Notamacropus eugenii: one gene and its partners. The protein of the gene in region 3 purifies or fractionates together with the protein of the main gene of each other region. This does not show direct contact. Links are inferred from orthologs where the notes say so. Each region holds a gene or a part of one and is shown on either strand. Other genes may lie near its edges.

Region 1 (7,551 bases), about 190 Mb from region 3:
TATCAATAGCATTTCTTCATAGTATTTGTATTCGGGGATCCACGTGAAAAAGTAAGTCTTCCTTTTCAAAAATCACTTCTGAATGGAACACGATTTAACAATCATTCCACAATTAAGTGCGTCCGTCCAGCCGGAACCAGACTGCGCGCTGGGCAGCGGGGGTCAGAAAGGCGCACGGACACCTTCCCGGTTCGGTTCGGCGGTAACAGACCGGGTCACGCTGCTCCGACGGGCTCCAGGAAAACCTCCAGGGCTTCGGCGAGGGAGGACAGGACTTGATTCTCAAAGTAAAAGCTGCCACGGGCTGCCCGCCTCCCAAGCAACACGGCAGTGACAACCGGCTCAGAACCAGCCCCTGGCGGGGGGAGGCCACGGCCCCCCGGACCCCCGCCCCCCCGCCCCGGCTCCCGGGCGGCCCCCCGGACCCCCGCCCCCCCGCCCCGGCTCCCGGGCGGCCCCCCGGACCCCCGCCCCCCCGCCCCGGCTCCCGGGCGGCCCCCCGGACCCCCGCCCCGGCTCCCGGGCGGCCCCCCTGGACCCCCGCCCCCCCGCCCCGGCTCCCGGGCGGCCCCCCGGACCCCCGCCCCGGCTCCCGGGCGGCCCCCCGGACCCCCGCCCCCCCGCCCCGGCTCCCGGGCGGCCCCCACCCGCCCCGCACAGCACCCCGCGAAGCCAGGGACACACTGCACGTTTCCTATTCCCCCGGGCCAATCGCTTCTCAGGATCCATCGACCCACAGACTCAAAACCCATTTTCACCAATAGCACCAGGACGGAGGTGGGACTTCCGCCATCATTTGGGTCTGAATTCTCCTTACATTTCAGGAGGCAGTTATCCGAGCAGTGAAAACCCCCTCAAACTTCCAGCTCGCTTTCGTGCCAAAATAAAGGAGCCGCCACCGGGCCGGCGGTGCTGGAAGGAGGAGCTCCTAGGATGAAACACGCACATGGGGTTCATCTCCACTTGAACCCCCCACACCAAAAGCGAAACTTTGGGACACACACCCTGGGAGCCCCGGCCCGGCCCCTCGGGCGAGGAGGCAGCACAAAGCCGGGCGGGCTAAGCCCTCCTCCGATCCCCGCACCGATCCCCGCACCGCCCGAAGGTCGCTGAGCATTCACCCGGCGAGAAGGCAGGAGCCCGCACATTCACGCGAACTTTTCACGCTTTCCCGGGGTCTCCGGCTTCCACACTCGGCGTCACGCCGGCCTTTCCCATCGAGCACACAAGAAACTTGCTAGTTTCACCTGCAAGCTCTTACATGGATGCCCCCAAAGGGCAGAACTAACTCTAAAGGTTATCCAATGGTTTACAACTTGCAAAAATTGGACAAAATAAGTCTGAGCATCAAAGCTGGATTATTTTTAAGGGAAAAAAAGTTAAACCAGCAATATGGTTCTGAGATCTGAAGCAACCAGAGTTCTACAATTAACTTTTTCGGTCAACTTAGTGAGCCACGTACGGATTAAAATCCTTTTAACACTATTTAGTATAAATTTAGTTTTTATTCTTCGGCTCCGGGAAGCTATGCTTAAATGATCTTGTTCTCCATCGCAGAACCTGTTGCTGTTTGAGAAAGTAACTACTACCGAACTCGACCCTCGTAGATAAAGGTTCAAGACGAAAAAGTGGGACGGGGGGGCGGGGAGGAGAGATTGATCCCAATAGATGTCCCCGAAATGCCCCCCATTCCGCTCGGAAGCCCCCGCACACCTCCCCAAACCCTGGGGGCAAAAGTCTGAGGGAAAATTCACTCTCATCATCAAGGGGGAACAAAGTTGGAGCGAGAAGGCACAACCCCCCAGAAAAGGCCCCCCAAGGAGGGAGGGGGCCCGGGAGGCCCGGGCGCTCCAGGACTCGCTGCAGGAGGCGCCCGCTCAGCCCAGGGCTCCCACTTCCCAGGGGGCCCCGCTCACGGCCCCCCCAACCTCCCCCGAGGCCCAGCGCTGCAAACTTTCCGTCTCCCGGCCACGGTCTCCTCTCCCCGCCCCCAGCACCGCCAATTTGGGACGACATTTTGCGGATCCGGGAAGGAGGGCAAGGGGTGCGATTTCCCGAACCCCAACAGCTCAACTCCAGGGCGCCCGAGAGACCACCCCCAACAGTCCTCCCCGCCCCGGGCGTTCGGGCCAATTAAATCCATCTCCCGTTCCGGGGGCAGGGGGTTCCCTCTCGGCCTGGGTGGGTGCCACTGAGCCAACGTCGATGCCATGGCCAGGGCGGGGGGGGGGCCGATGCCAGGGGAGATGAGAGGGGGCGCTCGGATGCCAAGGAACAAGGGGGAGCTCGGCAAGGGAGAGGCGAAGCCAGCCAATGGTGTACAGATGCCCGAGGAGAGGAGGGGGCGCTGTGATGCCAGGGTGCTCGGAGCCCAGCCGGAGGGGGGCGGCGGTGCCAGGCGTGGGGGAGGGGCGGGCGTGGGGGCAGGGAAGGGGCCCCCCACCCTTACCTTGATGTGGAAGCGGATGAGGGCCAGTCGGATGCAGTGGGCCATGCAGACGGGCGGCAGGAACCAGACCTTGGGCGGCGGGGTGCCCTTGTTCTGGACGTGGCTGACGATCTGCTGGGCCGTCTGGCGCTCGTTGCCCTGGCGCTTCACCCACTCGTGCAGCCGGGCCTTCTCCAGGGCCCCGTTGAAGAAGACGAAGAGCTCGATGTTGCCGTTGAAGCAGGCCTTGGCCAGGGCCGCCAGGTAGCCCAGCATGTGGTTCCACTGGCCGCCGCTCACCCAGTCCGTGTAGAAGCCGCCGTAGAGACGGTGCAGGCAGTTGTCGGCGTCGATGAGGAGGCGCAGCGGGGTCTGGGGGGGCCGCTGGCGGCCGCCGCCCACCAGGCTGCCCCGGGCCAGCTTCTGCAGCTCCACCGGGACCACGGCGCTCGGGCAGTGTTTCTCGATGTAATCCTGGAAGCCCTGGACTCCCATGGCGGCGGCGGCGGCGGCGGCGCGGGAGGAGGAGCGGGAGCGGGAGCGGCGGCGGCGGCGGCGGCGGCGGCGATGAGGTGAAGTGGGCAGGCCGGCCGGCGGCGGCGGCGGCGGGCGGAGGTCCCTGGCGGAGGCTGCCCTTCCCCCTCCCCTCGCCCGCTCCTCTCCCTCAGCCCGGCGGGCGGCAGCGGCGGCGGCGGCGGCTCGGCTGGACTGGCGGGCGGGCTGGTGTCCGTCCCCTTCCTTCCCTCCCTCCCTCCCTCCCCGGGAGCTCCCCCCTTCGGTCTCCGGTGGTGGCGGCGGCGGCGGCGGCGGCTGGTAAATGGGGCGGGGGAGGATGAGTGAGGAGCCGGAGGTTTCCTTGGCGGCGGCGGCGGCGGCTGGAGGCGGTTGGCTGGTGGGCGGGCGGGCTGGGCCGGGTGGGTGGCTGCTGGGTCGTCGGGGGCTGAGCCGGGCAGGCGGCGGTGTCTAGGGGGGAGTTGTATGAGTCGGGGGGGCGCTCATGGCTGCTGCGGCCGCCATGTGCTGCTGCCTCACAGGGCCATGGCTGGGGAGGGATCTGCCGCCGCCGCCGCTGCTGCTGCTGGTGCTGCTGCTGCCGGGGCTGCTGCTCCTCCCGCTGCTGCTGCTGCTGGGGCTGCTGCTGCTGCTGCTGCTGCTGCTGCTGCTGCTGCCTGAGGGAGGGAGGGGGCGAGGGCGGAGGAGGAGGAGAGGAGGAGGAGGAGGAAAGGAGAGGAGGAGGAGGGGAGTGTGTGGCGGGCGAGCGGGGGAGCGCTGACGTACAGCCCGCCGCCGCACGGGAAGGAGACCCTGCAGGGGCCGGCGGAAGAGGCGGTGCCTGGGCTGGAGTGGGAGCGAGGCTGAGGGAGGGGGAAGTGAGGACAGGCCCGAGCGGGCCCAGCGAAGCCCGATGAGGCCCGCTCCTCAGCCCAAGTCAGAACGGACGGGCAGGCACCACCCGCCCCCACCAGCCCCGCCACGGTCACACCCCATCCCCCCAGTTCCCAGTGGATGGACGGACGGGGTGGGAGGAGGGAAGGAGACAAACTGGGCTGGGACTCCAAGCGAACTGTCCCCTCCCTCCGCCGCCGTTAGCGGGCCTCCAGGAGGCCGTAAGGCCTGAGGCCTGGGAGCTGGGGCCGGTTGCATCATGGAGCATGCGCCATGGGCGGAGGGAAGGGGAGGGGCTGTTGAAAGGCGGGGGGTGGGGAGAGAGCACAGGCCGAAAGCCTGGGTCAAGGGTGAAGGGGAAGGGCGAGGTTGGGGGAGGGGGCGTGCGTCCGTGCGAGGTGCGTGGAAGGAAGGGCGGGAGGGCCCGCTAGAAGCTGTGGTTCTGCCTGGGAGCGGACGGCGGAGAGATTCGGCCTTGGGGCTGCTACGTGCGCGGGGCTGCGCGCTCCTCTCCACGGCGGCCGCTGGGGATGCTGATTCCTGCTGGGCCGCTCGCCCGCCCTAACCCCGCTGGCCTCCCCCCTCCTCACCTTAGACCTGGGGGTGGGGGGACGGCCAGGGCCACCCCGGAGACCCCCGGCGGCCTCGAGGGCGTCCGCCGACAGCGTGCCAGGCACAAGGGAGGCCCCTCACCGAATTCCCACTCTTTTCCCCCCGAAAATTATGAGCTGTTGCAACTTTGACCAGCAAACAAACGAAGGAAAAGGAGGATTGTGGTGGGCATCTTGCCAAGGCCACATTTTGCCAGCATTAGAGCTCTCAGGGAAGAGGCACCAGCAGTGCGGTCAGGATAAGGCAGCCCCAGAGGACTATGGGAGTCCTGCTCTAGAGTTTGGGAATTGGGCCTGTGCGGTGTTGGTGTCGGAAGGCTCTTGTCACACCTGTCCCAGTAGTTCTTCATCACTTCAGGTTTTGTGGGGGGGGCTGGAAGCCCGCCACTCACGGCCACGTGTGAACACAAGCAACGGTGCGTGGCAGTGGCACCCACAGACGCATCCATGCTCCCTATTTGATGAGTAGCCAAACTGAGCGTCTTATGGAGCCAGAAACCAGTCATTAAGTCTAGTGCTCCTTCCCTGAAACCATGCCCTTTCTAGCAGAAAAGTAAAGGCAGACATGTAGGACAGTAAGCGCCTTAAAATCCAGAAGGTGTAAGGCCGCTACCTGAAAAACACTTCCAGATGTTAGGAAGATTTGTTTAAAAAGTTTAGATAAGACAGCTTCTGCTCTCATGTCATGTAGTGTGTAGTTGTGGGATGCCTTAGTGCATTCTGCATTAGAGACTGTGAGACAGTGTTATGTGTGTATGCATGTGTGTGTGTCTATATACGTTCATGGGAGTAGGTAGGGAGAGCAACGAGGTACCCAGAGAAAAAGTGGAAGCACCTGTCAGATTATCTAACGTGACAAAACAGGAAAATAATAAATGTTGAAAAATATGTGGGAAAATTGGAACACTAATGCATTGTTGGTGGACCTGGGAGCTGATCCAGCCATTTGGGAGAGCCATTTGGAAATATGCCCACAGGGCTATAAAACTGCATACCCTTTGACCCAGCAATGCCACGACTAAGTCTGTATCCCAAAGAGATTATAAAAAGGGGAAAGGACCCACATGTACAAAAATATTTATAGCAGCTTTTTTGTGGTGGCAAAGAATTAGAAACTGAGGGGATGCTCATCAGTTGGGGAATGACTGAACGAGTGGTGGTATATGAATGTAATAGAGTACTGTTATGCTATAAGAAATGATGAATAGGTAGACTTCAGAAAGACCTGAAAAGACCCCTACAAACTGATGCTGAGTAAAATGAGCAGAACTAGGAGAACACTGGACACAGTAATGGCCACATTGTGCGATGACTGACTTTGATGGATCTGGCTCTTCTCATTAGTGTAAGCGTCTAAGACAACTCCAAGACTCATGATGGAAAATGCTATCCACATCCAGAGAAAGAACTTTGGAGTCTGCATGCAGATGGAAGCATGCTATTTGTTGTTTTCTTTTGTTGTTTTGTTTCTTCTTCATGTCACATAACGTGAAAATATGCCTAATATGAATGTGTGAGTAGAACCTGTATCAGATTGCACACCGTCTTGGGGAGGGCAGAGGAGAGGGAAGGGGAGAGAATTTAAAACTCAAAATCTTATGGAAATGAATGTTGAAAACTAAAAATAAATTATTTTTTAAAAAAAGAAAAATTGTAGGTAACACTTCAAACAACAAACCCAACCGTTGTCTCCATTTCAATGACTATTGCCCTTCAGATGCCAATTGAGATAGCCCAGGTCCCTGATCTGTAAGAGCATTGGGATTAGCAGTGCCTCCCAGACCCCCTGAGTGGCTTCTACCCAGGTTTCCTAAGCTGTTGTGAAAGGGAGTCAGAGAAGGGACCCATCATACACTCCACCACCAATACCAACTGCTGACCAACTGCTACTGATGTGCACTAGTTAGTTCCAAAGCCTCAGGAATAGTGACTCCTCTCCCTCCAGACTTCTCCAAGCACTGCCTTTGTGGCCATCAACCAAGGAAGCAACACTTGTGGACAAGGAGCCAGCTATCCCACCAACTGCCACCAGCTGACCTGGCATGCCAGTTTAGGTGAAGTAGTCAGGTACCCTGAAGAAAAAACAGGAGCAGCACATGCCAGGGAAGCCAATCACTGCTGTGGTGTCAGCTATCACCTCCCCTAAGGGTCTAACAGAGAAAGCCCAGAGTTGTGAATCCAGATAATAGTGGGGACTCCTCCCACCCACTCAGACCACCAGCAGTGTTTCCAGCTTAGCCTCTCATAGTTATGTTCAAGGGGAGCAGCCTGTGTAATTGCCAGGAATAGGCAGGTAAGTCCAAGAACCATGGAAATATCAGTGTCTTCTTCATGGAGTCGTGACCTATCCTGTTCCTATAGGTGCTACAGCTTCTGTCTCCTTAACAGGAGGCATAGCTATTGAAGACCCAGAAAAGAACATTCTTCCCACCAAAGTCCCTTAGTACTGTCAAATGGTTCAACAACAAAGCTAGAGATGGTTTTATCAGTGGACATGACATTAAAGACTTTTAACATCAGCTTTGCCACCATACCCTAAAAGTCATAGAACTTTCCTATCTGATATGCCTATAAGACCTCCTATATATGTGGCTTCCAATTAGAATGTGAGAGAAGGGTCTATCTTGTTTTTGATTGGTGGTCCCAACACTTAGCAGACAGTAAGCTTTTTCATTCATGTATCCACACAGAAATTGGTGCACTTCACCCTTCTCTAGTTTATCAATGCCTTTTCTATACTGTAGCATTAAAAACCAAACACAATACTTAAAATTTAGGCTGGCCAGGACAGAATACTTTTATTTTCCATGTTTGGCACATTGTCCTTCTATTAACTTGCCTTAAAGTTAAGCTAGTTTTTTCAGCAGCCAAGTCGCATTTGACAGGCATAACTGAGGTGTGAAAGGATTCTATTTCCCAAGATGCCTACTCCCCAAATATGAATGCTTCTTAGAAGAGAATAAGGACTTCATTTCCCACAAGACATGTATGATCATGGACAGGAGAAGATGAGTGTTCTAGGAAGAAGGAAAGGTACTGGAGTTTACTCTGAAGTTTGTGACCATACAGAGCAATGTAATTTTCTTAAAATAAGTAGCAATAGTAGTAGGTTGTTGGATTCAAAAC
Region 2 (7,158 bases), about 69 Mb from region 3:
TTGAGATGGTTGGTAGCATGGATGGTCAGTTAGTGTGGTGAGATTATATTTAAACAGGGAGAGGGATGATAAGCAGAAGAAGTCAACAAGGAAGGCATAAGACCTTCCCAGGAGGGCCAGGGATCCAGTCTTATTTAAAATGTGAATTTCCTTTAATCCAGCAAATATTCGTTATGCTCATATGTGAAGTGAGAGGAACCATGGCTTGGTGCTCAGAGTGCCAGCCTTAGAGTCAAGAAGTCCTATATTCAAAGCCTGCTTCCAACACATCTTGGTGAGACACAACTCCTAGGCTACCCTAGAAGACTGTAAACTACAAAGGGTTCTCCAGCTATACTATCAGAGGAAGTTTCTGAGGGATGAAATTGCAGATCCCTTCTCTCCTCCTCACCCCACCACGAAATGTTCTAGGTGCTGGGTTAGTCCTGGGGATTCAAAATAAAGTATTCCTGGCTCTCATCCTACCCAGAAAAGTAAATAAATGCAATTGGAGTGAGGAAAAAGGACCAATCATGTCATAGGAACTAGATCTAGAGCTGTAAGAGACATCAGACCTAGTTTTACAGAGTAGGAAACTGAGGCCCAGAGAGGTCATCACTTGGGTAGTGGAATTTTAACCCAGCTCCTCTGAATCTGTAGCCAGTGGTCTTTTCACTGTGCCTTGCTTCTTCCTGAGGTGATCAGGAAAGGTTTCCCATAAGTAGTGGCAGTAGAATTAAGCCTTGAAGAAACTAGGGTTTCAGAGAAACATAGAAGTAAGGAGAAAGCCTTCCAAATAAGCCAGATAGCCTGAGCAAAGGTACAGTGCTCTCTGTCTTAGAAAGAAATGGTATTCCCCAGGAGATCAATGGTCAGAGGAGATGACCAGGCAGAGTGTTGGGTGGCTTTTTTTTTTTTTTGGTAATTAAGTCATTTTATTTTTTTTCAAATTACATGTAAAGACAATTTTTTACAAGATTTTGAGTTCCAAATTTTTCTCCTTCCTTCCCTCCTCTCTGATATAGGTTATACATATGCAGTCACGTAAAACATATTTCCCCATTAGTCATGTTGTGAAAGAAAAAACAGAACAAAAGGGAAAAACCATGAAAAAAACAAAGAAACTGAAAATAGTATACATTCAGACTGTCAGTTCTTTCTCTGGATGTAGACAGCATTTTTCTGTCATGAGTCCTTGTAAATGTCTTAGATCACTGTGTCACTGAGGAAATCACCACTAAGTCAATCGTGGTTGATTATTGCACAATGTTGCTGTTACCGTGTACACTGTTACGGTTTTGCTCACTTCACTCAGGATCAGACCATGTAAATAAATCTTTCCAGGTTTTCCTGAAATCTAGACCAGGCAGTTTTCAAAAGAAGAAATTCAAGGTATCAACAGCCAGATGGAAAAATGCTTCAAATCACATGCAAGTTGAAACAGCTGTAGATTCTAGCTCAGACTGGCAAAGATGGCCTCAAAAAGGAAAATGACAATTTTGGGAGGGCCAGGTACACCAGTGGACTGTTGATAGGAGCTGTGAATTGCTCCAGCTATTCTTAAAAGCAGCTTGGAATTATACCCCCAAAATCACTTATGTGTGTGTCTCTTGAACTAGTCATATATCTTGCAAGAGGTCCAAGACAGAGGAGAAGGCCCCATATGTACACAATTTTTTATTAGCCAGTACTTTTTATTGTCAGAAAGACTGTAAACAAAGTGAGTGCCCATCAATTGGGAAAATGCTGAACAGATTGTGGTACATGAATGTAATGGGATGTAATGTACTATAAGAAATGAGAAAAGGGACAGATTGAGAGAAATTTGGGATGATGATGCAGAGAGGAGCCAAAACAATTTACACTACAGCCACACTGTAATGACAAATAACTGGGGAAGGACTTCAGAATGCTGCTCCATCCAAACTCCTGGAAGACGGAGGATGAAGTCTGTTTCCCATGTCTGGGAAGAGGTTAGATGGAGGAGGATCCAGGAGACATATACCTTCGGATGCGGCCAGGGAGTGATTTTGCTTTGCATAAATCAACTATGCTTTTTTATAATAAGGGAGGCCTTTTTTTGGGTGTGGGGGGGGGGTGCTGAAAATAAATGAGGAAGGAGTGATACTAATGTCCAAAAAAGAAAAAGAAAAGTGTCAGTGAAATATTTTAAAATACACAGAAGGGGAATCAGACAAGCAGGCCAGTGTTGAAACTGCCATATTTAACTAAACGCATACTTTAAAAAGCCAAGCTGTCCATAATAGAGCTTTGTGGTTTCCTACACAATCTTTTTTTCTCCACAAATAGAAATGTTTGTGTTTTCCCTGATGTTTGCTAAGCTTAGGATTAAAAATAAATTATTTTAAAAAAGCAATTAAGGACAGTGACCCCCAGGAACTGGAATTACAATTGGAATTAGCTGAATGGAGTTAAATAGGGAGGTCTAGAAGACATTGAGTGATTGATGCTGGCCCTTAAAAAGTGCCTGGTGAATTCATTAAGGAGAAAAGATTAAAGTCTTGACGGAATATTATCGTGGGAAGACAGCATGAGTCCGGGCTGGGGAAGGTATTGTCTCATGCAGGAAGGAGCCCAAAGCGACATAGGGGAAGAAGGCTGTGGGACTGGAGGGGGAGGGGTAGAGCTCCCCACACAAGTAGTAAGAGAAGCCCTGGGAGCTGAAGGGCTGAGATCCCGATACCTCATGGGTCTGTCCTGGGGATCAGATGAGGCAGAGGATGCCAGTGCTTCGCACATCCAGGCCAAGTCCTAGTGTTATCCAAAGGGAACTAGCCAGGAATCATCTGAGATGGTGAACATTATGCCAAATCTAAGTTCTCCATTTTTAGATGAGGGAATTGAGTCCTAGAGAAGTGACTTGGCCAAGGTCACCGGCTCATTTCTGGCAGAGGCCTCCTGCCTTGGACCTCACTCTCCATCAGGGATGGACTGGGGCCAGCAGGTCCTGCGCAGCTCGCTTTCCAGCCTGCCCACCTCCTTCCCAGCGTCTGCTAGCCTAAGGACTGACACTTTGTAGCAATCTTGGTGCGCCGTCAGCGCGGAGCCCTGGGCTTAGAGTCTGGAAGACCTGAGTTCAAATCCGACCCCAGACGCCAGGTAGCCGTGTGACCCTGGGCAAGTCACCTACCCTGTTTCCTCCTCTTCAAAATGAATTGAAGGAAACGACCAACCACTCCAAAGGCGTCCCTGAAAGTGGGGTCCAACTGGAGGGAGAATGAGCCTGCGGCCCGAGCCGGGGAGGTCCGGGCTCAGATCCTGCCGTGGGTCTCGAGGCCAGTCACTTTCCCTCGGTTTCTTCTGGGGTAAAAAGAGGGAAGTCACGAAGCATTTATGAAGCCCCTACTGGTAACCAAGCTCTTGGTTCGCTAAAGACACCAAACCTCCCCCCCCTTCCCCCGCCTGCCGTCTAAGGAGGGGCGCACCAGGGAACCCAATCCAGTGCCAGTTCAGGGACAGGCTTGGACCGGAGAACCGGCTTTCAGCGGCCAGCTCGTTGTGCATTTATTAAGCGCCTGCAGTGTGCCTGCTAGCCCGAGCGCTAGATAATTACTGGGCACCTCGAAAAGAGGCGGGGGGTGGGGGGGAGGTCCGGTGCGCAGGCGCACCGCGAGTTAGGGGGAGGGGCGGGCCCTGCGGACAGCGGCGGGGGGAAGGGCGGGGACGGCGGCGCTCCAAAGCCCGCAACATGGAGGACGTTATTGTCGTCGCGGCGACGCCGCCGCAGTGGAGGCCGGAACCCGGTATTCTCCACCTCCGCTACACTACGTAGAGGGCGCAGTGCCGCGGTCGCGGGCGGGCGGCGGGCTGCGGACGCCAGGAATGTTACGTAGCGACCCGGCCGCTCCCCGCCCCTCCCCCTCTCCCCCGCCCCTCCCCCGCCCCAGCTTACGCCACGTCGTCGCCCCGGCCGCGCGCCAGCTCTACGCGCGCTGCGTAGCTCGGGGGCGCCCTGGCGGGCGGCGGGTGGCGGCCGCCTGCGCAGTCGGCGTGGCGCGCGTTCGGGAATGGCGCCGGGGCCCTCTGCTGGGGGCGCGCGGGGCGGGGGGAGGGGCGCGCTATCCGGAGCGGCTTACGTGCCGCCTGGGCCGTGCGTAGCGCTGGAGACGGCGCGGCGGCCGCCATTTTGTGGAGCCGCGCCGCTGAGGGAGGAAGGAGCCGCCGCAGCCGCCGCCGCCGCCGCAGCGCGCCCGCCTTCTCCCAGCCCCGCGCCCGTCTCCGACGCGACCGCAGGCGACGGTGGCGACGCCGACGACGGCAGACGTCGCCGAGGAGCGAGCGCTTCCGAACCCCGGGCCCGCCTCGGCCTCGTCCGCCGCCGCCTCCGCCGGGCCCCTCCGCGCGGCCTGCGCCCCCGCCGCCGCCTCGCTGCTCCTCAGGCCCCCGCCCGGCCGCGCCCCGCTGCCCGACCCCGGCGCCACCATGCGAGGAGGCGGCTTCGGAGACCGCGACCGGGACCGGGACCGCGGAGGGTGAGGCGGGGAAACCGAGGCAGGGGGAGGGGGCGGGCCGACTGGGCTGGACCCCGAGGCGCGGAGGGGGGGGGGTCACCATGGAGGCCGCGGGCACCCCCGGAGGAGGAGACTGAGGCAGGACCGGCGCGGGAAACGGCCCTTATTTATTCAGGGGGCGGCCGGGGCGACTTGGCCCCGGGTCCAGATGGGGAAACCGAGGCGCGGAGAGGAACCTAGGCCTTGGAGCTGGGAGGGTGTGGACCTTGTTCGGAGCCTTGTAGAGGCGGGGAAAGGAGGCGAGAACCCTGCCGGAGGTGGCGGAGGCTGCCCCCTCCTCCCCCCGGCCCCGGGGAGCGCTTTCCCGTCCGCAGAGGGCCCGCAGAAATACCGCAGGAGAGGAAGGTCGGGGAGGGCCCAGCCCGCGGCGCTCCTCTCCCTCCGCTCCCAATCCTGTTAGGTGGGGGGAGGGGCCAGGAACCAGGCCCGGAAAAGTTCCCCGTGGAGCTGAGCAGGACCTGGCCCCGAGGCTCGAGTGCCAAGATCCTCACGATCTCGGGCTCCAAGGGGCCGTTGGTGGTGAAGGGAAGAAAGGAATCCCCCATCAGATACAGAAATAGGATTTTTTAAAAACCCTTTTAAAACAAAGATTACAGAAAAAAACTACTGTGCTCCAGAGGATGGTGGGGAAATAAAGAGGGATATTTGGAATCAAATTGAGGAGGAAATGGAAGGTCCGTAGGGGCCAGGAATATTGTGGTTTTAGGTTTAACACCTGGGGGGCACTTAATGCTTAAAGAAAGACTAGCATTTTCCCTTGTTGCCTCTGTTTGTTGCCTTAGCTTCTTGTGGCATCTCCAGCTAAGGGTGTCTAGTATCTAGCTTTTTGGGTTCAGAGTTCTTTATGTGTTAAAGTCGTTTGGCAGGTTAATAATCCTTTAATTTGTATAGTGCTGCATTTCTCTTGATCCTTAGAGGGGATCTTGGAAGCCAACAGCTTCCAGCCAGGTCAAAGGACTTTCCCTAGATCACATGACTCATTGACTGGCCCTGGCCTGGAAGGTAGCCAGGTATACTGATTGCCCACTCTTACTCTTGACTTTTCTCTTCTGATGGAGATCTAGTGGGCATTAAGTAAAACATTTGTTCATTGCATTGAGGATTCCACCAGTGCAGAGTAATGTCGATTTTCTATCTTAAGAAGATTCAAAGAAACATGGTGCTGCCATTTTGGAATATGCACTCCTACTTGTAGACTCTTTAATTGTAGCATTTTAACTGAAGAAGGTGCTTTGGGGGCCCATTTAAGAGAATACAGAAGGTATTTAGCCAGTTGCTGCCTCTTTGACAGGTCTTAAATCAGGTATGAAGGGTAATGGTCTTGGTTTTTTTTAAAAGACTCAAGGCCCATTCTCCTACTGGATCCTTAATATGGTCAGTTGAGCTTTCTCATTGTAAGTTCAGATTTTGGGAAGGTGAATTTTAAATTTGAGTTATTATACAAACTACTTAATTCTAAGCTTTCAAAATGTTAAATGGTGGTATAAAATCTTTTGGGAGTGGGGTCTGGAGAAATTTAAACTAAAAACCAATAGATCAGGTCTGCAGCATATTGAAATATATAGTAATAGGATCATGTCTGATTTTGCCTCTCAATGTCACTTTAGCTTGTTGAAGAGCCAAATGGTTTGAATTTGCCTATTCTCTATACAAATACCAGATACATATATTTCATGATAATGTACCTTAAGGTGTAACTATCAGGAGAAGATAGCAGCTTCTGATTCTTGTTTCATTACTTAGCGCTATTCCTGAATGCCTCCATAAATTTCAAATGACAGAACAGTTGCCTTAGTACAAATAAAGTGGTGCCATTTTAGGTGCCTGTAAAGACCTTTTCATTCCTTTCTCAATTATCCCAACTTATTTTTGCCCAGATAACTAAATTGTTAAACGATATACACAGGAATGGGTATGGTTAAGTAAGTGATGGCTGTTTTTGTGATATAGTGCAAAGTTCTGGCCAGCAGCTTCTCAGCATCCTTTTAATACGTACCAGAAATTTTATAAAATTACATAAATATTTAGCATCCAAAAATAACTGGTAAGAAGTTGGATATTACCGATCCCCCAAATTGTACTCTTGCAAAGCCCACTTGAACGGTTATTTTTTTTAAAGATGGAATAGATCATACAAATCCATATGTGGGCAACCTTTTTGGCTTAGCTTTCATTGATATAAATGTGTTTGAAAGAGTTGAATAGCCTTCAATTGATAATGGTTTCATCCAGAAACTTTCTGATATAACAGGACAGATTATAATTAGTTAATTGCTAATTAGTAAAATTTAAATCATTAAAGAGAGTTGTTGGGCTTATTAAACACATTATTATGAAAGCAAATACATAAAGTGTCAGACAATTTTTTTAAACCCCATCACCACCCATCTTTAGTGCAAAATAATAAAATAATTTTGTATTAATAGCAAGAGCAAAGGTCTGACATTCTTAAGAAAATAGGTGCATCATTTTATTTGTTAGTTTAAAAAAAAATGGAGCAGTGCTGTTAGAACTAAACCAGAAATGGATAGCTGGGAGATTTAATCCAACCCAAACGCAGGCCTTTGCTTCCTTGTTTGGAGAAGAACCTGTTAGCTTTGCCTCTGTAGTCTTGGTGGTGTAGGCTAGAGAAGATGCCGTTGAAATG
Region 3 (7,709 bases):
GAAAAACTACAATACTAATCTAGACTACCACACCATAATACTTGTTTGGGTTCACTTGATACCTACCACTACCACCGCCAAAGCCGCCTCCGCCTCCTCCGTTGTTATAGCTGTCATAGCTGCCACTCCCGCCATAGCCACTGCCCTGGTTTCCATAACCCTGTCCACCACTTCCATAGCCTCTGTTTCCTCCAGAGTAACCAGGGCCGCCTCCTCCATAACCACCTACAGAAGAATACAATTCTTCTCAGTAAGACAAATTTGACAGTCAAAAAATACATGCAAGCTTAAAGGCTCAAGGCCAATACACAGCATGCATGTTATGTTGGGACAATCAGGTCAAGCTCAACACATGCAGCACTTAAAAAACAAAAGAAAGACAACAAAAAAAGCAAAACTAGGCCTGTTCTAATGGGGGAGAGGAAGGGCCAAGAATCCTTTTATTTACCCAACTTGATATAATTATATTCTAAGTAAGATTTTAGCACATACCATCATTTCCAAATCCATTGTAGCCATCTCCACTTCCACCATATCCTCCACCACCACGACTGCCGCCAAAACCACCTGGAAGAAAAAAAAAAGGCATTCAGTTGGGCATCAGCTATCAAACCTAAATAAAAAAAAAAAAAACCCAACAAAAAAACGAAAGAAAACAAAACAAAACAAAAACCTAGTCATCCTCATCCAGCCAAGTTACCTTTACTATAACCAACTTAGGTACCAAATCAAGAATAACACCATATCCAAACCACTGGTGACCAAACTATCTGCCTGAAGCCAACAGTCCAAAATGGTAATAAATCAGAGGAATGCTACCAAACAGGCAGCAAAGTCCTGACAAAAGTCCAGAAAGAAATAGTAAGGATGGTCACTAGACTGGAGAGGAAGCAGCAAAGTTTCTCTTTTCCACATGAATACCTAAAAGCTTTAACAGAAGGCCCAAACAAAATTAAAAGTACTGCTGCTTGCTTACTGTGAAAATACATACCACGACCACTGAAGTTCCCACCACGGCCAAAGTTGTCATTTCCACCGAAGCCACCCCCTCGGCCACCACCAAAGTTCCCAGAACCACTTCGACCTACGCGCACACACACAAAAAGACCACCCTTAAAAAACTGGAGACAATAAGCACAAGATGGCAACCAAACCAGTGGTATAGAAAACTTACCTCTCTGACTAGATGAAGCGCTGGCCATTTCTTGCTTAGACAAAGCTTTCCTTACTTCACAGTTGTGGCCATTCACAGTATGGTATTTTTGAACTAGGAAAAAAATCTCCAATTAGAAACACCTAACTGCCGGTAAATCTCAACAAAGAAGATTTACAAAGCTTGGTTACTTCCAATACCATTTGTGATACTCACTGACAATCTTATCCACAGAATCATGGTCATCAAAAGTAACAAAAGCAAAGCCTCTTTTTTTGCCACTGCCTCGGTCAGTCATGATTTCAATTACTTCAATTTTTCCATACTGTTCAAAATAGTCTCGTAAGTGATGCTCCTCAGTGTCTTCCTTAATGCCACCCACAAAGATCTTTTTCACAGTTAAGTGGGCTCCTGGCCTTTGAGAGTCCTAGACAAGACGAAAAACAATCGGTGGAAATGGCTAGGAAACTCACAATCTCGAGGTCGCAGAAGCCTTAAAGGACTAACCCAACCTGTATTATAAATCGTTACTTCCAAAAAGATGAAGGAACATACCTCTCTAGATACAGCTCTCTTTGGTTCAACAACTCTGCCATCAACTTTGTGAGGTCTAGCATTCATGGCTGCATCTACCTCTTCCACTGTGGCATAGGTAACAAAACCAAAGCCCCTGGAACGTTTGGTATTTGGATCCCTCATCACCTGAGACATTAAGGGAGCAGAGACAACATGTTAGTAAGCAGTAAAGGCAATAAAAGGCACAAAAGTCTCTTGCAAGTACAAAAGCAGATGATGGGCCACTGAGCTTCTTGCACTAACCAATTTAAGAGGAAGTTATTTCCAACAAAAGCACATTTTAAAGATACCCCCCACCCCCACGTGTGAATTTTTCTCAGGATGTACAGCCACTTCCCGGGCCTCAGCACTCACCACGCAGTCTGTAAGCGTGCCCCATTGCTCAAAATGGCTCCTTAGGCTCTCGTCCGTCGTCTCAAAGCTCAGGCCTCCGATGAAGAGCTTCCGAAGCTGCTCGGGCTCCTTGGGGGACTGGACGACACGATTCAAAGAATTGGAAAAGGGAAGGGTCTTTAAGTCATGGCTGGTGGTCGGGAGGGGGGGGGGGGGGGAATCGGCGCGGGACCCTGGCTGAAAGAGGCGCTGCGCTTTAAAGTACACGCGCCCCCCCCCCCCCCAGCAGGGGACAAAGAGTGGGCCCGAGGTTTACACTAGCGCCCAGGCCCGCCTGTCAGAAGCCCGGGTACGGGTGGGTAAAGAAAGGGGGCAAAAAAACAACGCATGCGCAACAAAGAGAGGGTGGATGACCGCGAATACAAACGAAAAAAAAAAAAACCTGGTCGTCAGGCAATCGAAACCAGCCCCAAATCAAGGGGAGATAAGGCCAAACGAGACAAAGGGTTTGGGCCGGTGGCACTCGAAGAGCCTGTAACTCGAGGACCGCGAGGGCTAAAGGCTCATGGCGGCCGGGCCTACAAAATGGCGACCTAGGAGGGGGGGGTGTGGAAGGAGCAGGCCACAGCGACAGCAGGCTACAGAACTCACGGATAAAGGTCGTATTAGAGGCGTATTGGGCTAAGCACCGTAAGAGGATACGGGGAACAGAACAGAGAAGAACGAGATAGCACAATCGTTGGGCTGCGACTCCCTTACCTCTGACTTCGACATGGTGAGAGCGGTAGCAAAAGCTTCAGCGATCCTTCTCCAACGGTGTCGAGAACAGAAAGGAGATAGCTAACTAGCGTTTCTGTCTCCCCACCTTCGTACCCGCTTTTTAATCCCGCCTCCTCGCGTTCTGCATTGGTAGACTCCTCCCCTCCTTGTCAACCATTGGATAGCTCCAATCATTCTAGCTACCGATTGGTCTATGGTAGCGCATCTTTGCGTAGCGTAATGCGTTGCGTAAATTCCGCCCCGAGGAAGCTGCTGATTGGCTTCTGAGAAGTTCTTTTTTTTTTTAAAGCGCCTGATTGGCTCTCCTGCCAGTCACTCTTGTTTGAAGGTAACCAGTTTTTTTTAGGTAACTTTAATTTTTAATTGTTTAAAATATTACGCTATATTTAGGGAGGAAAACACTATTAAACGTGAAAAATTAAAAAAATAATAAATGACTAACAATTACTTCTTGGGCTTCTATTCTCTGAGAGCGCATGCGTAGTGCCACAGCCAATTAACGCAAGCGCAGTAAAAAGACCTGACGGCTATTTGTACAACGTGTAATGGCGGGGAAGAACGGACCTATGTAATACACCTGCGCAGTGGCGGGAGTCTTGTCCCTTTATGCGCATGCGCAGTGGGCGGAGGAAGGGTCCTTCGTTGGATCGCGTGCGCAAGCGCAGCGGCGGATCCGTTTTGGCGGGCGGTTGGCGTTGCGCAGAAGGCGGCGGTGGTTCCTTGTGGTCCGGCCTCTTCGCAGAGGAACGGGGACAAGGTTAGGGTGAGAGAACGCTCTCAGTCCCGGGTAAGTGGAAAACAACCATGTCTACACTTCTAGGTCCTTGGAGCAATTCCAATCGGGCCCGTTATTGTGTGAAATGAATGGACCGCTGGGGTGGGGGGGGGCGGAGGAAGAGCGACAGGGTTGATCAACCAATAGGCGAACAGGAGGCGGGTGTAATTGTCCTGATGGCCTGTCCTCTCGTCCAATGGCTGTATAGGAGGGAACCCAATGGATGAATAAGATTGACAAGACCGTAGACCAATTGAGACTCCATTTGGTGGTTCTTAGTAACTGACATCGATCCTTGGGCCACAGGAAGGCGGGAGGCGGGTTCTTTCCTGAGCTGGGACGCTCTAAGCAAATTGGAGAGAAGTGCGCGGGGAGGTTGGGCTCGCCAGAGAGACAAGGGTCTGAGCCCAATGTGAGAGATGAGGGCTGGGTCTTTCAGATAGATGGACCAGGCGAATAGCCAATGGGAGGTCAAACCAAGGAAAGCGCGCGGGGAGACGGCCCAATCAGCGCTCTGGCGGGGGGTGGGTTTAGATTTGGGGTTCCGAGGAAGGAGGATTGCCTTTTGGGGGTGGGGATCCCTAGGGGATGACTTGTTTTTCACGGAGGTCTGTGGGCTTGCCCAGTCCCATCTGTGGTCCTGTTCTGAGGCTTGTAAGCCTGATTGATCATCAGTGCTTGCCTTTTCTTCGGCCCTTTTTCCTCTTAGGGTTCAGTGCAGGCCAGGGAAAGACTAAGACCACATGTTTGTCTACAACCTTGCTTTGTACCCTATAGGCACACTCACCCCAAGACCACATGTTTGCAACCTTGCCTTGTAACACATACTTACACTGCAAGACTACATAATTTTTCTGGAATCTTGCTTTTTAGCACATAACACCCTCATCCAAGACCACATGTTTGTCTGGAACCTTTCTTTGTAACACGTACATACACTCCAAGACTACAAATTTCTTTGGAACCTTGCTTCTTAACACACATGTACACCAAGACCACATATTTGGAGCCTTATTTTTTAACATAACATAGATATTTGTCTGGAACTTGCTTTTTAAGGCACAAATATACACACACACACCTTCCCCATTTCACCCCTTTTCTTTTGCAATGAAGGAAATTTCAGACCTCTCTCTATCTAGTCATCTGGTCATCTGAAACTACCTCACTTGTAAAATGAGGAAACTTCCCAAGTAGCCATGCCTTGGGGAATCCAGAAGCCTTTCAATAACCAGGATGAATCCTTGAGGAATTGAGGTGATTCCAGATCCACACTTACCTATTCACATGTTCGTGAATGAAAGAAATGTCATCAGATGCTTTGTTCCAGACTAGTTCAGTAAGGGTTAATAATTGAGCTTCTTTGGAAGTAGCATAATTTAGGAAATTTTATTATATAGTCCCCTCTGACTTTGTACACAAAAGAAATAAAATTTTAAAAAGACATTTGGTAAATAAAAACTCAAAATTTGCTTTCCTGCTCATTTCCATTTTCTGTGATCTATGCAAAAGATGAAATCTTCTGAGGAGGCCCTGTAATTTCCTTGGTTTAGGGAAGCACAGAGTAAGGAAATCAAACTCCTTAAAGTGTCAGAATTCCTGGGATAGTTTAAGTGACTTGCCGGGGAACACTCAACCAGGATATATGTGTCAGAAACTAGACTTGAACCCATATTTTCTTAACTTCAAGACTATCTCTCTATCCACAATAACAGGATGTATCTGAAAGTGATCTAACTAGTCACAATCTCAGTATTTGACCACAAGGTGTGATGTGAGATGAGTTAAAATTAATCATTATATCATTTGTTTTAAAGGTAGGAGGGAAATGAATAATTTGATTTAATACCACATTTGATGAGAATCTCATGTGAACCTTTATCTGCCTTTCATATAAACTGGAGATTAAACATAGGGAGAAAGAGATATGCCATATGATAGTAGTATTTGAAAACCAGATTAACAAGTGTGTGGACTCTTTATTTAAAGATCTGATAAATCAGATCTATAGGCTTCACATTTTCCAAGAAAAGTGTATTTTTTGTGTTTTCCATGTATGGTTGAATAAAAACAAAAATTCATTAAAATTTTTATTATTGTTACTAACCTGTGACCTGTTAATTGCTATACATTTGTATTGTGTTCACAGACGTTGAATGCTTAAAATGAGTGTGAATGTGCTTTTGTTCAAAGTGGACTTTATTTCATTATTTCTTTTATTTTCAGCTAGGTTGGACCTCTTAACAAGCCATTTTAATTAAGTGGTTTGTTCACACTTTTTCTTTGGAAACTAGGTCCCCAAATCACTCCCTCTTCCAGTCAAGAATGGACAGCTGATTTACCATCTTTGGGAAAAGGTGTCTTCTTTGTCTGTGAGGATTCACCTTTGCAGCCTGTTAAATATGAAATGTGTGAACATGGCAGTTTGAATGACAGATTAAGTGAGTAAGGATTGGGAGGCTGAACAGCTTCAGGTTCAACCCCAGAAGTTCTTGGTTGTACAGCTAAAGTAAGCAACAGTTCTTGATTTAGTTTGTTTTGTTGAGAATTTTCCTCTTTTTAAAAAAAATTTTTTCGTTACATATTAAGTTCTAAACTGTCTCCCTTTTACCCTCTCTCCTCATCCTGAACTTAGAGAAGGCCACCATTTGAGACTGATGTGTGTGTGTGTGTATGTATATACACACACTCTCTATATATGTATGTGTACATACACACACGTAGGCATATATGCATGTATGTAAAACCTTACACTATATACATATATATATATATATATATATATATATATATACACTTCTATTTATCAGTTTTTTCTCTAGAGATGGATAGCATCTTCCTTCATAGGTTCTTTGTAATTGATTTGAGTATAATATTCAGAATAACTTAGTAGTTCATAGTTATTCCTCAAACAATATTGCTGTTACTGTACACAACATTTTCTTGGTTCTGCTCATTTTGCTCTCTTATTTTATGCAAGTTTGTCCATGTTTTTCTAAAATCAACATGCTCATCATTTGTTATAACACAGTAATATTCCATCACAAATCCTATATCAACTTGTTCAGCCACTCTCCAATTGATGGGCATCCCTGCAATTTATCCCTGCCACTACAAAGAGAACTGCTTTAAATATTTTAGAACGTAGGTTCTTTTCCTTTTACCCTGATCACCTTGGAAAACAGATCTAGTAGTGGTATTGCTAGGACAAAGGGTATACACAGTTTTATAATTCTTTGAGTATAATCCCGGAGTGCTTTGTAAAATGGTTGGATTAGTTCACAGTTCCACCAATAGTGTACTAAATTTCCAATTTTTTTATATCCCCTCCAACATTTGTCATTTTCCCCTTCTGTCATTTTAGCTAATCTGATAGGTGTGAAATGATATCTCAGAGTTTTAATTCGTATTTCTCTAAACAGTAATGATTTAGAGCATTTTAATATGACTATATATTGCTTTGATTTCTTTGAAAAACTGCCTGTTCATATCCTTTCACCATTTATCAATTGGGGAATGACTGACTTGTATTTTTTAGGAAATTCTTTTAACTTGTATCCAATCTTCCTTCCCCCCTTCCACTCCATTTATTCCTCATGGAATAGTCTACCGTGTTTATGGATAGAATTTGTAAATTTAATATGAATTGACTTCTAGTCCAAGGTGTTAAGTAAATGTTCTGGTAAATTTTATCCTGTTAACTCCCTGCCATTATGCAAGTGGGGACTTTTTATTTTACATCTATTATTGCTAACTTGGTCAGCCCTGAAGTGAAGCAGCGGAGGTGCTCTTTGTGCCAAAGAAATTCTCATTTGACCTAGTCATGTAATATTCAATTTTCTTTTTCTGCCATTGAAAAATCCAGATTGAGGAATAAGCTGGTAGAGATTCTATTAACTGTATTGAGCATTGAACTCACCTTAAAAAAACAGGCCATTTATCTTGAAGACTGTTAAAGATCAAGATCTGTTTTGGGGAAACTAGAGAGCAGGATAACGGCTAAAACTTATAGCTTGTCTCAGGAGGTTAGGAAAATGAATGAAAGGATGACCTGATTTGCCATCCTGTGAAAAGCTATAGACACTCAAATAC

The links.
Region 1: the proteins of HNRNPA1 (region 3) and FAM120A purify together in Homo sapiens (affinity purification with mass spectrometry; 4 studies listed by BioGRID and IntAct, counting the BioPlex papers as one, with this or other methods). This does not show direct contact. The link is inferred for Notamacropus eugenii from reciprocal best matches to the Homo sapiens genes HNRNPA1 and FAM120A.
Region 2: the proteins of HNRNPA1 (region 3) and DDX17 purify together in Homo sapiens (affinity purification with mass spectrometry; 4 studies listed by BioGRID, with this or other methods). This does not show direct contact. The link is inferred for Notamacropus eugenii from reciprocal best matches to the Homo sapiens genes HNRNPA1 and DDX17.

Annotation. Positions count from the first base shown.
Region 1 is NC_092874.1:422,041,401-422,048,951, reverse strand, and holds the start of FAM120A (constitutive coactivator of PPAR-gamma-like protein 1), read right to left. Parts: upstream 3,009-7,551; 5' UTR 2,924-3,008; coding exon 2,450-2,923; intron 1-2,449. UniProt on the Homo sapiens protein: Component of the oxidative stress-induced survival signaling. May regulate the activation of SRC family protein kinases. May act as a scaffolding protein enabling SRC family protein kinases to phosphorylate and activate PI3-kinase.
Region 2 is NC_092874.1:295,927,129-295,934,286, reverse strand, and holds the start of DDX17 (probable ATP-dependent RNA helicase DDX17), read left to right. Parts: upstream 1-4,150; 5' UTR 4,151-4,422; coding exon 4,423-4,472; intron 4,473-7,158. UniProt on the Homo sapiens protein: As an RNA helicase, unwinds RNA and alters RNA structures through ATP binding and hydrolysis.
Region 3 is NC_092874.1:227,403,227-227,410,935, reverse strand, and holds the start of HNRNPA1 (heterogeneous nuclear ribonucleoprotein A1), read right to left. Parts: upstream 3,005-7,709; 5' UTR 2,837-3,004; coding exon 2,822-2,836; intron 2,201-2,821; coding exon 2,084-2,200; intron 1,856-2,083; coding exon 1,709-1,855; intron 1,581-1,708; coding exon 1,370-1,580; intron 1,268-1,369; coding exon 1,175-1,267; intron 1,085-1,174; coding exon 992-1,084; intron 568-991; coding exon 493-567; intron 226-492; coding exon 67-225; intron 1-66. UniProt on the Homo sapiens protein: Involved in the packaging of pre-mRNA into hnRNP particles, transport of poly(A) mRNA from the nucleus to the cytoplasm and modulation of splice site selection.